Schizosaccharomyces pombe: one gene and its partner. The protein of the gene in region 1 interacts with the protein of each later gene in a pairwise test. Each region holds a gene or a part of one and is shown in the gene's direction. Other genes may lie near its edges.

Region 1 (5,150 bases):
TTGGAAGTATTGAAATGTTTGATTACTAACGGTTTTTAGGACTCAGAAATACACCATCGATATTCAGAATTTGCTTCTTTGCGCGTACAACTTAGCCGCCTGTATCCTACTTGCTTGGTTCCTCCATTACCTGATAAACATAAAATCATGGATTACTTGATAAACGTCACCAAAAACCAACGAATGTCTCGTATGCTCGAAGAAAGAAAGAGATTATTACAATTATTTTTGAGAAGGGTAGCACAACACCCTATTCTGGGCCTTTCAGAAGTTTTTCGAAAATTTCTTAGTCGACATGTATCTTGGAAGGAAGTATTGCATAGTCCTCCTATTAGTTGTCTCCCAAAGGATTTATTGAAAGCCCCACCAGCTGATCCTTCTTCTAAAGAGAATGCTGAGTTATACAAGGAGCTGCCTATTCCCTCTAAAACCCTTGTACCTCGTGACAATTATGACGATGTTGGGAAAAATTTTCTTATGCTTGAAGATACGCTACAGCAGTATTCAATAGTAGCACAAGAGGAATCCAATTTATTTAATCAAATTGTTTTATCAAACTCTAAGTATTGCCTCGCACACTCTACTTTGGGGGCAATGTTTAACGCTCTTTCGTTATCCGAGTCGGGAAAGCTTTTGACAGCACTGGAAAAGGTTGGACAAGCAAATGATCACACATGTCTTGCTAGTATTGACTTTATGCACAACTTTGTAATCGCGGTAATAGAACCGCTTCAGGAGCTTTCAAAAGACGCCAAAAATATGCGTCACATTTTTATCTTTAGAAAGATGAAGTTTATTCAACAGGTAATGGTCGAAGAGCTTCTCACAAGAAAAAAGAGCTTTCTTCATCTTTTGGAGCGCAGGGAGAGACATGCTGCTCGTCTACAACAGGCTATTGGTGAGGTAGATGGGGACGTAATACTCAATAGGGAATCGGAAGCTACTTTGGGTGTAAATAACGCTCAAACTTCTCGTTCAACTATTCCCGAAGAAGATCCCCTATTTAATGATGAAGAATCAAAAGAGCCGTCGGTTCCCTTGATGGGAACCGATCAGCCCTTGGAAAACTATCATGATGGAAATGGAGAGCAAACGGAAGAGTGTTTGCGGGATTTACGGCACAATCAAAGTCAAGATTTTGAAACAGTATCACAAGATACCTCTTTGACGTCAGTTACTGTTTTACCGCGCACGATTCGTGATGTATTTGATAGAATACGTTTTGTATTGAATGGTCTAACTGATAATAATGTGGAAGTATCGCGACACAACAACATCGGTAGGACCGCAGAAAGCGTTACCCATCTTACGGACATGCTCTTGATTACCACTAAGGATGTCGCATTTGTAACTGACAGAGTAAACTTTGAGTTCCAGCGCTACCAAGACACGCATCGTCAGGATTTAAACAGAATTTTAAACCGTTTGACCGATAGTCATATAGATTGGGCCAACCGGAACTTGCGAATCTGGAATTCCGTACAAGAATCATTGAAAACATATGTATCATAATTTATTGGTCCTAGATTTGGTTGGGTTTCTTTTTCAATACAATGTTTGAATATTTGCTTTCATGCTTTTCTTCCTATTCTGCATATTCTACCCCTAGGTGTTTTACTTCATTCAGGCTTGACCTACTAAGGTTAGAGAATTCCGGTACCCTTTTATAAACGTGCCATTGAGATTGCCTTGTCTTTCAGGTTGATTAGCACCTTGCTTGGTTTTTCTTCATGAATCTGTTTTTTTTATGATTATTTGTAATGAAATATATGAACGCCTATCTTCTTAATTGACCATCATCTTAAATTTGTACTGAAAGTAAGAGTCACATGTCGATCAGTATGTAATATATCGGTATACAATTGTTTGCCGTTTCACCATAATAAACTGGTAATTACTTCCTGTACTTTTATCAATTAAAGTTATTAATTTATTTTAATTATTAAAGCTTTTTAATTGCAATATTCGTCTTTTTTACTTTTCCATCATCATGTTAGCAATTCACACGGATGTAACGTTATATTATGTATATATATATATAATGTCACCATATTTATGCTGTCATCCGTTTACAACACAGCATCACTTTGTCTTTCTGTTGTGAATTGCTTTATTAACATAAATTAAAGGAATAAATCCTTTTAAGAATTGTTAATAAGTCTTTATTTTATAGATAGCTACAGCAAGTGTTTGTGCGTGATGAAGATATGTCATCAGTAATTTCATGAATTAATGAGGTTTTCCTTTTTCGACTGAAATAATTGAAGAAGGTTCATATTCTTTCTTAAAAAAAAAAAAACAATATTTTTAAGTTTCTAGTATTCTCTGGAGTCATCCATGGAATTAACGAGTGTAAAATTACTTGACATTAGCAATCGACATCTGAATTAGTTTTACGAGCGATTAAAAATGAGAAAAGAAAGGCCAGGAGTATTATTTAATAAAATAAGGTCTTACTTTATTTGTCCGGGCTGTAATTGTTTGCCTGACTGGCCTGTCACACTTCCTTGTGGAGGAACAGTCTGTCGGAAATGCTTTCGAAACGCATATTCTTCGGAAAGCTCTGGAAAAGTTAGTCCCTCAAGATGTTGCTTTTACAACCATAAGAAACCGCATTATTCTGTAGAGACCGAAGTGAAAGATGTGATCATTTCCAAAGTGGTTGAATTGATTAAAACTACAGAGTTTCAAATTTCTCAGCAGAGTTTGGTACCGCTGGAATTAAAGGAGGAAATTTGTCATGACGATTGTCTTTCTTCGTCACCACCTTGTACTTCTGCATTGACTGAAATTACTCTGCTGCCTCCCACTTTTCATAACTTAATACCTTCCTCATCTTCTTATGAGACTGCAGTAGCTGAATTTTTACATATGGAGGACCTATTACAAGAGAATGTTTCTCGAGAATTGGAATGTCAAATTTGTTTTGGCATGCTTTATGACCCAGTTGTTTCTCCATGTGGACATACATTTTGTGGCCCTTGCCTTATGCAAGCACTAACCCAGTCTCCTCAATGCCCGACTTGTCGTTTTGGGCTCCCATCTCCTGTTGTGTTGGAACATGCGAAAAGCCACTCTATTACCACATTTTTGCGAGATTTTTACCCAGATAATTGGTTAGAACGTCAAAAATCATGGGAAGAAGAAAAGGAACAGGAAAGTTGGCTTCCGTTATTTATTAGCATGCTTGCATATCCCAGAATGCCGACATTCCTTCATATTTTTGAACTGCGATACCACATCATGATCAAAAAATGTCTGGAGACTTCTAAGCGATTTTGTATTGCAATGCCTTTAAGAGCACGAAGTGATGGTCATAATGAGCATCGAGAGCTTCGAAATGCTCGTGGTCAACGTCTTTTTTGTTCTGAGTATGGTACAATTTTAGAAATTATCCAAGTCGAGCCTTTGATCGATGGGAGAAGTCTTGTAGAAGCCCGTGGTTCATATTGTGTTCGTATAATCGATTTTCGAGCTGATGGTTTGTTTCCGAGAGTGAAAATTGAAAAGCACTATGATACTCCTTTGAGAGCCACTCCACTCCAATTTCCTGAGCCTGAATATCTATTAATGTATGGTAATCTAAGTAATGAAGAATTAGTTGAAAGAATAGATGCTTTTTACATGAATGCCCGCCGAACATATGTTCATTGGGTTGTACCTTTAATCGATATAAAAATGGAGGCTAGACAGTCAATTGCTGACTTGTCTTACAAAATCACCAATCTTCTTCCTATCTCAGAGCTTGAGAAAACTCGCATTTTGCAAGTTGACAACCCGACCGATCGACTGGTTTTGGTTCTTATTTGGTTAACTCAACTTCAAGAAAGTTGGTGGTATCGTGTTGGAAGTGCTTGCACCATTGCTTGAGTTTTAATTGTAGTTGAAGTCGCGCGCCCTTTGTATGGGCCATAAAATATAGCCTTTGATTTACTGAAAGGTTATCTCGAAAACGATCAAAATACATCTAATTACCCTATACAAATGAGCACTTAATTCTTGGCATCTGAGAATATCTGGGGTTGATTGTCATGAATATTTCTTTGACCAATTTAAAAACACCCATGCCAATACAGCAAGAATTCTCTTTTTGTTTCACACTTTATTTAATAGTTGATGTTTGCAACTTTTAATATTTATTTTTCTTGATGGTTTTTTGTTTATTACTTTTTCACTGTGAAGATATTTTAATAGTATAATCCAAAATAATTTTGGTTTTCGTTATCTGCTGATGAAGTAGATTTTGGCATTATAGAGAAATTAATTTTCTGCTCTTACTAGTTCACATTTCATATTCACTAGTTTAAGAATACAAGTTTCAATTGACGAAGTGGTCTCTGTCTTTTTCTTACTTAGGCATTGGTTAAAGTAAATTTATAACCCCTTTTGTAATATTGCTAACATATGTGGAAAGGCACCTTTACTCCTCTATACTTGATCTTCAATTGATTTGCTTGGTGGGTTAGGTGAATACTACATATGAAGCATGGAGGCACAATAAATTATCGTTTGATTTTTCATGCGCGTTAACTAATTAATATGGAAATTACAAAATAATAAATCTGATGGTCTTCTCAAGGTGGAGCATTTGTAGAGCACTACTTAGTGTTGGTTCCTCACTGTCCATTCACCACAACAGGTAGAAATTTTTTGGCGAGCTTAAGATTATCGAATATGGAGGATTATGGTTCATATAGTACACCATTGACAGCAAGATATGCTTCTGCTGAAATGTCTCATCTCTTTTCAAGAGAAATGCGTATTAATACTTGGAGACAATTGTGGTTGAATCTCGCCATTGCTGAAAAGCAACTCGGTTTAACTCAAATTACTGATGAAGCTATTGAGCAACTTAAAGCGCATGTCAAAATTACAGCTCCAGAATTTGAAATCGCTGCTAAGGAAGAGAAGCGTCAGAGACACGATGTTATGGCTCACATCTATACATATGGTCTTGCTGCTCCTGCTGCTTCTGGTATTATTCATTTGGGTGCTACTAGCTGTTTTGTAACCGATAATGCTGACTTGATTTTCTTACGCAGCGCCATGGATCTTTTGATCCCTAAGTTAGTCAACGTTATCAATCGTCTTAGCCAGTGGTCTTTGCGATACAAAGACATTCCTACTCTTGGGTTTACACATTATCAACC
Region 2 (4,449 bases), 1.0 Mb from region 1:
CAAATGACAAAGCTAAGCATTTCAAAAAATCTAAAAAGTTCTATTCTTCTTTAGCTGAACGCCTCTCCAACCAAGGGCATGCTCTAGATTTATTTGCTGGTTGCCTTGATCAAGTAGGTATAATGGAAATGGAAAACCTTGTTAACAATACTGGTGGTGCCATTGTGCTATCCGACTCATTTACAACTTCCATTTTTAAGCAGAGCTTTCAAAGATTATTTAGTGTTGATGCTTCCGGTTATCTAAAAATGGGGTTTATGGCGAATTTGGAAGTCTTAACGTCTAAAGGCCTCACTATCTGTGGAATGATTGGAAATGGAGTTGGTGAAAATAAAAAAGGTACTAATATTAGTGATACTCAAATTGGCATAAGCAAAACGAATTCTTGGAAAATGGCAGCGATTTCACCTAAATCTTCATACGCTCTATATTTCGATTTGGGTAAAGAGATGGGGAATCCAAATTCGCAAAGGCCTACTCAAGCTTTCATTCAGTTTTTGACATATTACCAACATTCTTCGGGAACTTATCGACTTCGTGTTACTACCATATCTCGCTCATTTATTACCGGCAATGCAAAAAGTATTTCGGAGTCGTTTGATCAGGAAGCTGCTGCTGCTATAGTCGCTCGCATGGCTTTGTTCAAATGTCAAACCGAGGATGAAATGAGCGTAACTAGATGGATTGATAGAAACCTGATTAGGCTTTGTCAACACTTTGCAGACTATAGAAAAGAAGACCCTTCCAGTTTCCGTTTACTTCCAAACTTTACACTTTATCCACAGTTTATTTTTCACTTGAGGAGAAGTCCATTTTTGCATATCTTTAATAATTCTCCCGATGAAACTTCTTTCTATCGTCATATGTTGAACGTTGCGGATGTCAATGATTCTTTAATTATGATACAACCCACTCTTCAATCCTATAGCTTTAACGAGCCTGAAGGGGTACCTGTATTACTGGATTCTGTTTCCATTAAACCAGATGTGATTTTGCTACTTGACACCTATTTTCATATACTGATTTTCCATGGTTCAACTATTGCTCAATGGAGAAATGCTGGTTACCAAGAGCAACCAGAGTATGTTAATTTGAAGGAGCTTCTTTTAGCTCCGCGTCTTGAAGTTACTGAATTACTGGCTGATCGCTTCCCTATTCCACGATTTATTGTTTGCGATCAGGGAGGTAGTCAAGCGAGATTCCTACTATCAAGAATTAATCCTTCTGTTTCTTTTAACAAGTCCTCTCAATTTTCACCAATGTCAAAGGATTCTGAAACGGTTTTAACGGACGACGTAAACCTGCAAAAGTTTATGGACCATCTTCGTAAAATGGCTGTCATATCTTAAATTGTCTATATTGAAGATGAGTCTATACAACTATCATTACACATTTGCATCTTTGTAATAGCGGAGCTATCAACTATGGCTTTGTAATGTCGATGCAACCTAAATACATCAACTATTAGTATATATTCCATCTTTAGAAGAAAATGTTCAAGCATTTGTTAACACCATATTTTGATATTATTCATACAGATAATGGTGTAAAATCTTTTAAAAAAGGAGACCGCTTTTTTTATTTTCTGTATTTATAATGTAGTTTTTTTAGAAAGGCATAAACTACTCAATTTGTTCTCGGAATGTAATGCATTTAATGTTTCGTGCAAAGTAACCTACCCCAATTTAGGTATTGAAAATTCGCATTCTTGGTACGTATTCGCAGGGAATTTATGATTAATTTGGGAGTAAATTATGGTAATGGTAGTATTAAGTTAAGCAACAAACGTGTAAAATTAGTTAATGGGCAAGAGCCTATGTTTGTTTTATAAAAGAGAGGTTTTTTTAAATATAACATACTTTTATTGTTCGGTGGTTATTGGAATAAACGTGTTCCGTTCAATTGAAAATATGCATCATAGTCATAACTACTTGTAACACGTATTGTATACCATATTCCGATAATCAGCAACTTTCTCAACACAATTCTTTTCCTATTGCAAAAGCTAGAATATTAAAGCATAGTAAATTGAACAATATTTAATAGGAATATTAACATTGGTATTTCTTCAATCGGTTGATTACAAACTAGATCACGCTTCCATTTTTTGGTTCCTTACTTTATTTTTGGATATACGGTTGCGTTGATTTGTTGCTTCGCCAATTACTTTTTTGATAAAGGAAAATGGATCATTTAGAATTTGATGAAAATACTGATTCAGAATATTCGATCTTTGAGGAAGACAATGACTATGGACTTCATGGATTAGATGATTCTGTTGGTTTTACAGATTTATTTGACGCACCAAACATTTATCGGGTCTATTCTTGGCTACACAAGCATTATAATCAAAAGAAAGGACAGGTATGTCCATACATAACATTACCACCTTTTGTATTTTATTAATGTCTGTAGTTGAAACATGGAGTATCACGTCAAAAAAATAAATTGCAGCCTATTCATAAACAAATTAACTATGAAACCGACAAGTTAAAAGAAAGACTAGGGAAATCGATCGACAAGTTTCAAGAACAATGGAATTCCGGAAAAGTTGTTCGTTTTCGCGATAAATTATCCTTCGCGTTAGGTGTTAGCACTTGCATTTTAACTGCCTTGCTGGTTGGTATGGCTCCTGAATCAATGCACCTATGGTATACTATACAGCTTTTCGTTTATTTACCTTTGAGGTAAGTAGCTTATAATTTCTAATGGATATGAGCGTGGCTCGTATTCTCGTATGCCATCATTTTTAACTTAAATAAGGTATTATACGTATCAACGAAAAGGATACGAATACTTCATAGCTGATTTTTGTTATTGGGGGAATATTCTGGTAAGTTTATTTCAGCAGTGTGAAGAAACTAATGTCAGCTTCTTGTTTACATTTGGATATTTCCGGAGAGTCGGCGATTATTTATTCTGTCATACTCAATAAGCTATGGTACCTTGGCATGGTCTGTGGTTGCTTGGAGAAACAGTTTATTGTTTCATTCAATGTACGTACCTAAGAAGAAGTTTGAATGCCTGACTAATGTTCAGTGATAAAATTACAAGTCTCTTCATTCATTTTTTCCCGCCCTTGGTTCTTCATACAATTGTGCACCTAACAAATAAGTCTTATTTAAAAGATCGCTTTCCTGCTGTTTTAAAAGTTAAAAAGATCGATTTGCTTTCATCTGTGGAGATTGCTTCTTTTTTTTATGCATTGTGGCAGATTTGGTATTATTTTTTTATCCAAGTGGGTAAACAAAAACAAATTCAGGAAGGCAGACCAACTTCTTTTACATGGTTGTCAAAAGCGTATGTCCATATTCGGTGTACTTAACTTTTCATGGCTAATACTAGAAGTTATTCTAAAACAAAGCTCGGGCGTGCAGTTGCGAAACTTCCTCAAAACTTGCAACCATTTGTTTTTATGATCATTCAGTACCTGTATTCAATTACAACAATGTTGCCGTGTTCTCTTTGGTATAACAACAAATTATATTCTACTGCTTTCCTAGCTCTAATTTTTGGCTGGTCCGTCTGGAACGGCGCATCGTATTACAGTAAGTCATCAAGTTACTTATGAAAATTTTAGGAATTTAACAATTTTAGTTGATGTATTTGGAAGACGTTTCCAAAAAGAATTAGAAGCTTTACGACAGCAATTGGCAGAAACTCCGACGAATTCTGGTTCTAGTTCTGCATTAAGCCGTTAATTTATAGCAGTAACTCATTTAGCTACTAACGCTTCGAAATGTCTGATCTTTACTCCTTATGATTGTTCCATTTTTATTTCCTACATTATTACGAACTTAGCTTAACAATTACGAAAAGACCTATATTTATATCAAGTTAAATAATGTACAATTTTTAGAATGAATCTTTTTTCTTTTTATGCTGGGAGTTGATGTATACATGAGTAGAGATGTCTACCTTGTTCAAGGCCATATAAAATAGTTTTCCATACTAAAAAATAAGTTAGTTATACCAATTAGGATTAGCAATGGAAAAGGAAATTTACCTTATGAGTTTCAATTCTGTTAAGCAATTTCGAGACGGCTTTACGAACCTTGTCAGATATATGATAAAGTCCAAATGCAATTACAGATAAGCCTCCTGAGTGAAGGGGGCAATTAGACAATAAATAATTTACATCTTCTTCCGTTCGAATGTGTGACTCAAGAGCAAGAAATATTTCGGCAGCATCTGTTGTAGAGAGAGACGAGTTCCTTAGTCTATCCAGGTGAAACTGAATATCCATACAACGAAGTACAGGGGTGCTTGCACAATGAAGCCGATAGCAATAGTCTTTATACGTGGATGCTTGTCTCCAAGCTTCAAACTTTGGGGCTAAATAAAGAAGTTCATTAACCTTTTCATCGTCATTATCCCAACTCCACCCAAATCCTTTAAACTTGTAATCCTTATAGTATGGGTTGAGCGGGGATGATTCCAAAAACAAGG

What was found. Proteins that work in one complex are often made in the same cells at the same time.
Region 2: the proteins of SPOM_SPBC14F5.10C (region 1) and gpc1 interact in a two-hybrid assay, tested with the Schizosaccharomyces pombe proteins (one large-scale study listed by BioGRID).

The regions. Positions count from the first base shown.
Region 1 is NC_003423.3:4,174,972-4,180,121, reverse strand, and holds SPOM_SPBC14F5.10C (ubiquitin-protein ligase E3), read left to right. Parts: upstream 1-2,063; 5' UTR 2,064-2,409; coding exon 2,410-3,870; 3' UTR 3,871-4,650; downstream 4,651-5,150. Other genes in the region: sorting nexin Snx41, read left to right, coding at 40-1,512; adenylosuccinate lyase Ade8, read left to right, coding at 4,675-5,150.
Region 2 is NC_003423.3:3,179,821-3,184,269, forward strand, and holds gpc1 (transporter), read left to right. Parts: upstream 1-1,978; 5' UTR 1,979-2,184; coding exon 2,185-2,364; intron 2,365-2,415; coding exon 2,416-2,687; intron 2,688-2,763; coding exon 2,764-2,833; intron 2,834-2,871; coding exon 2,872-2,996; exon of another isoform or gene 2,997-3,039; coding exon 3,040-3,300; intron 3,301-3,348; coding exon 3,349-3,548; intron 3,549-3,597; coding exon 3,598-3,701; 3' UTR 3,702-3,855; downstream 3,856-4,449. Other genes in the region: sec2302 (COPII cargo receptor subunit Sec23b), read left to right, coding at 1-1,349; SPOM_SPBC776.06C (Arf3/6 docking factor), read right to left, coding at 3,856-3,951, 4,007-4,449. UniProt on the Schizosaccharomyces pombe protein: Glycerophosphocholine acyltransferase (GPCAT) that utilizes acyl-CoA to acylate glycero-3-phosphocholine (GPC), forming lysophosphatidylcholine (LPC).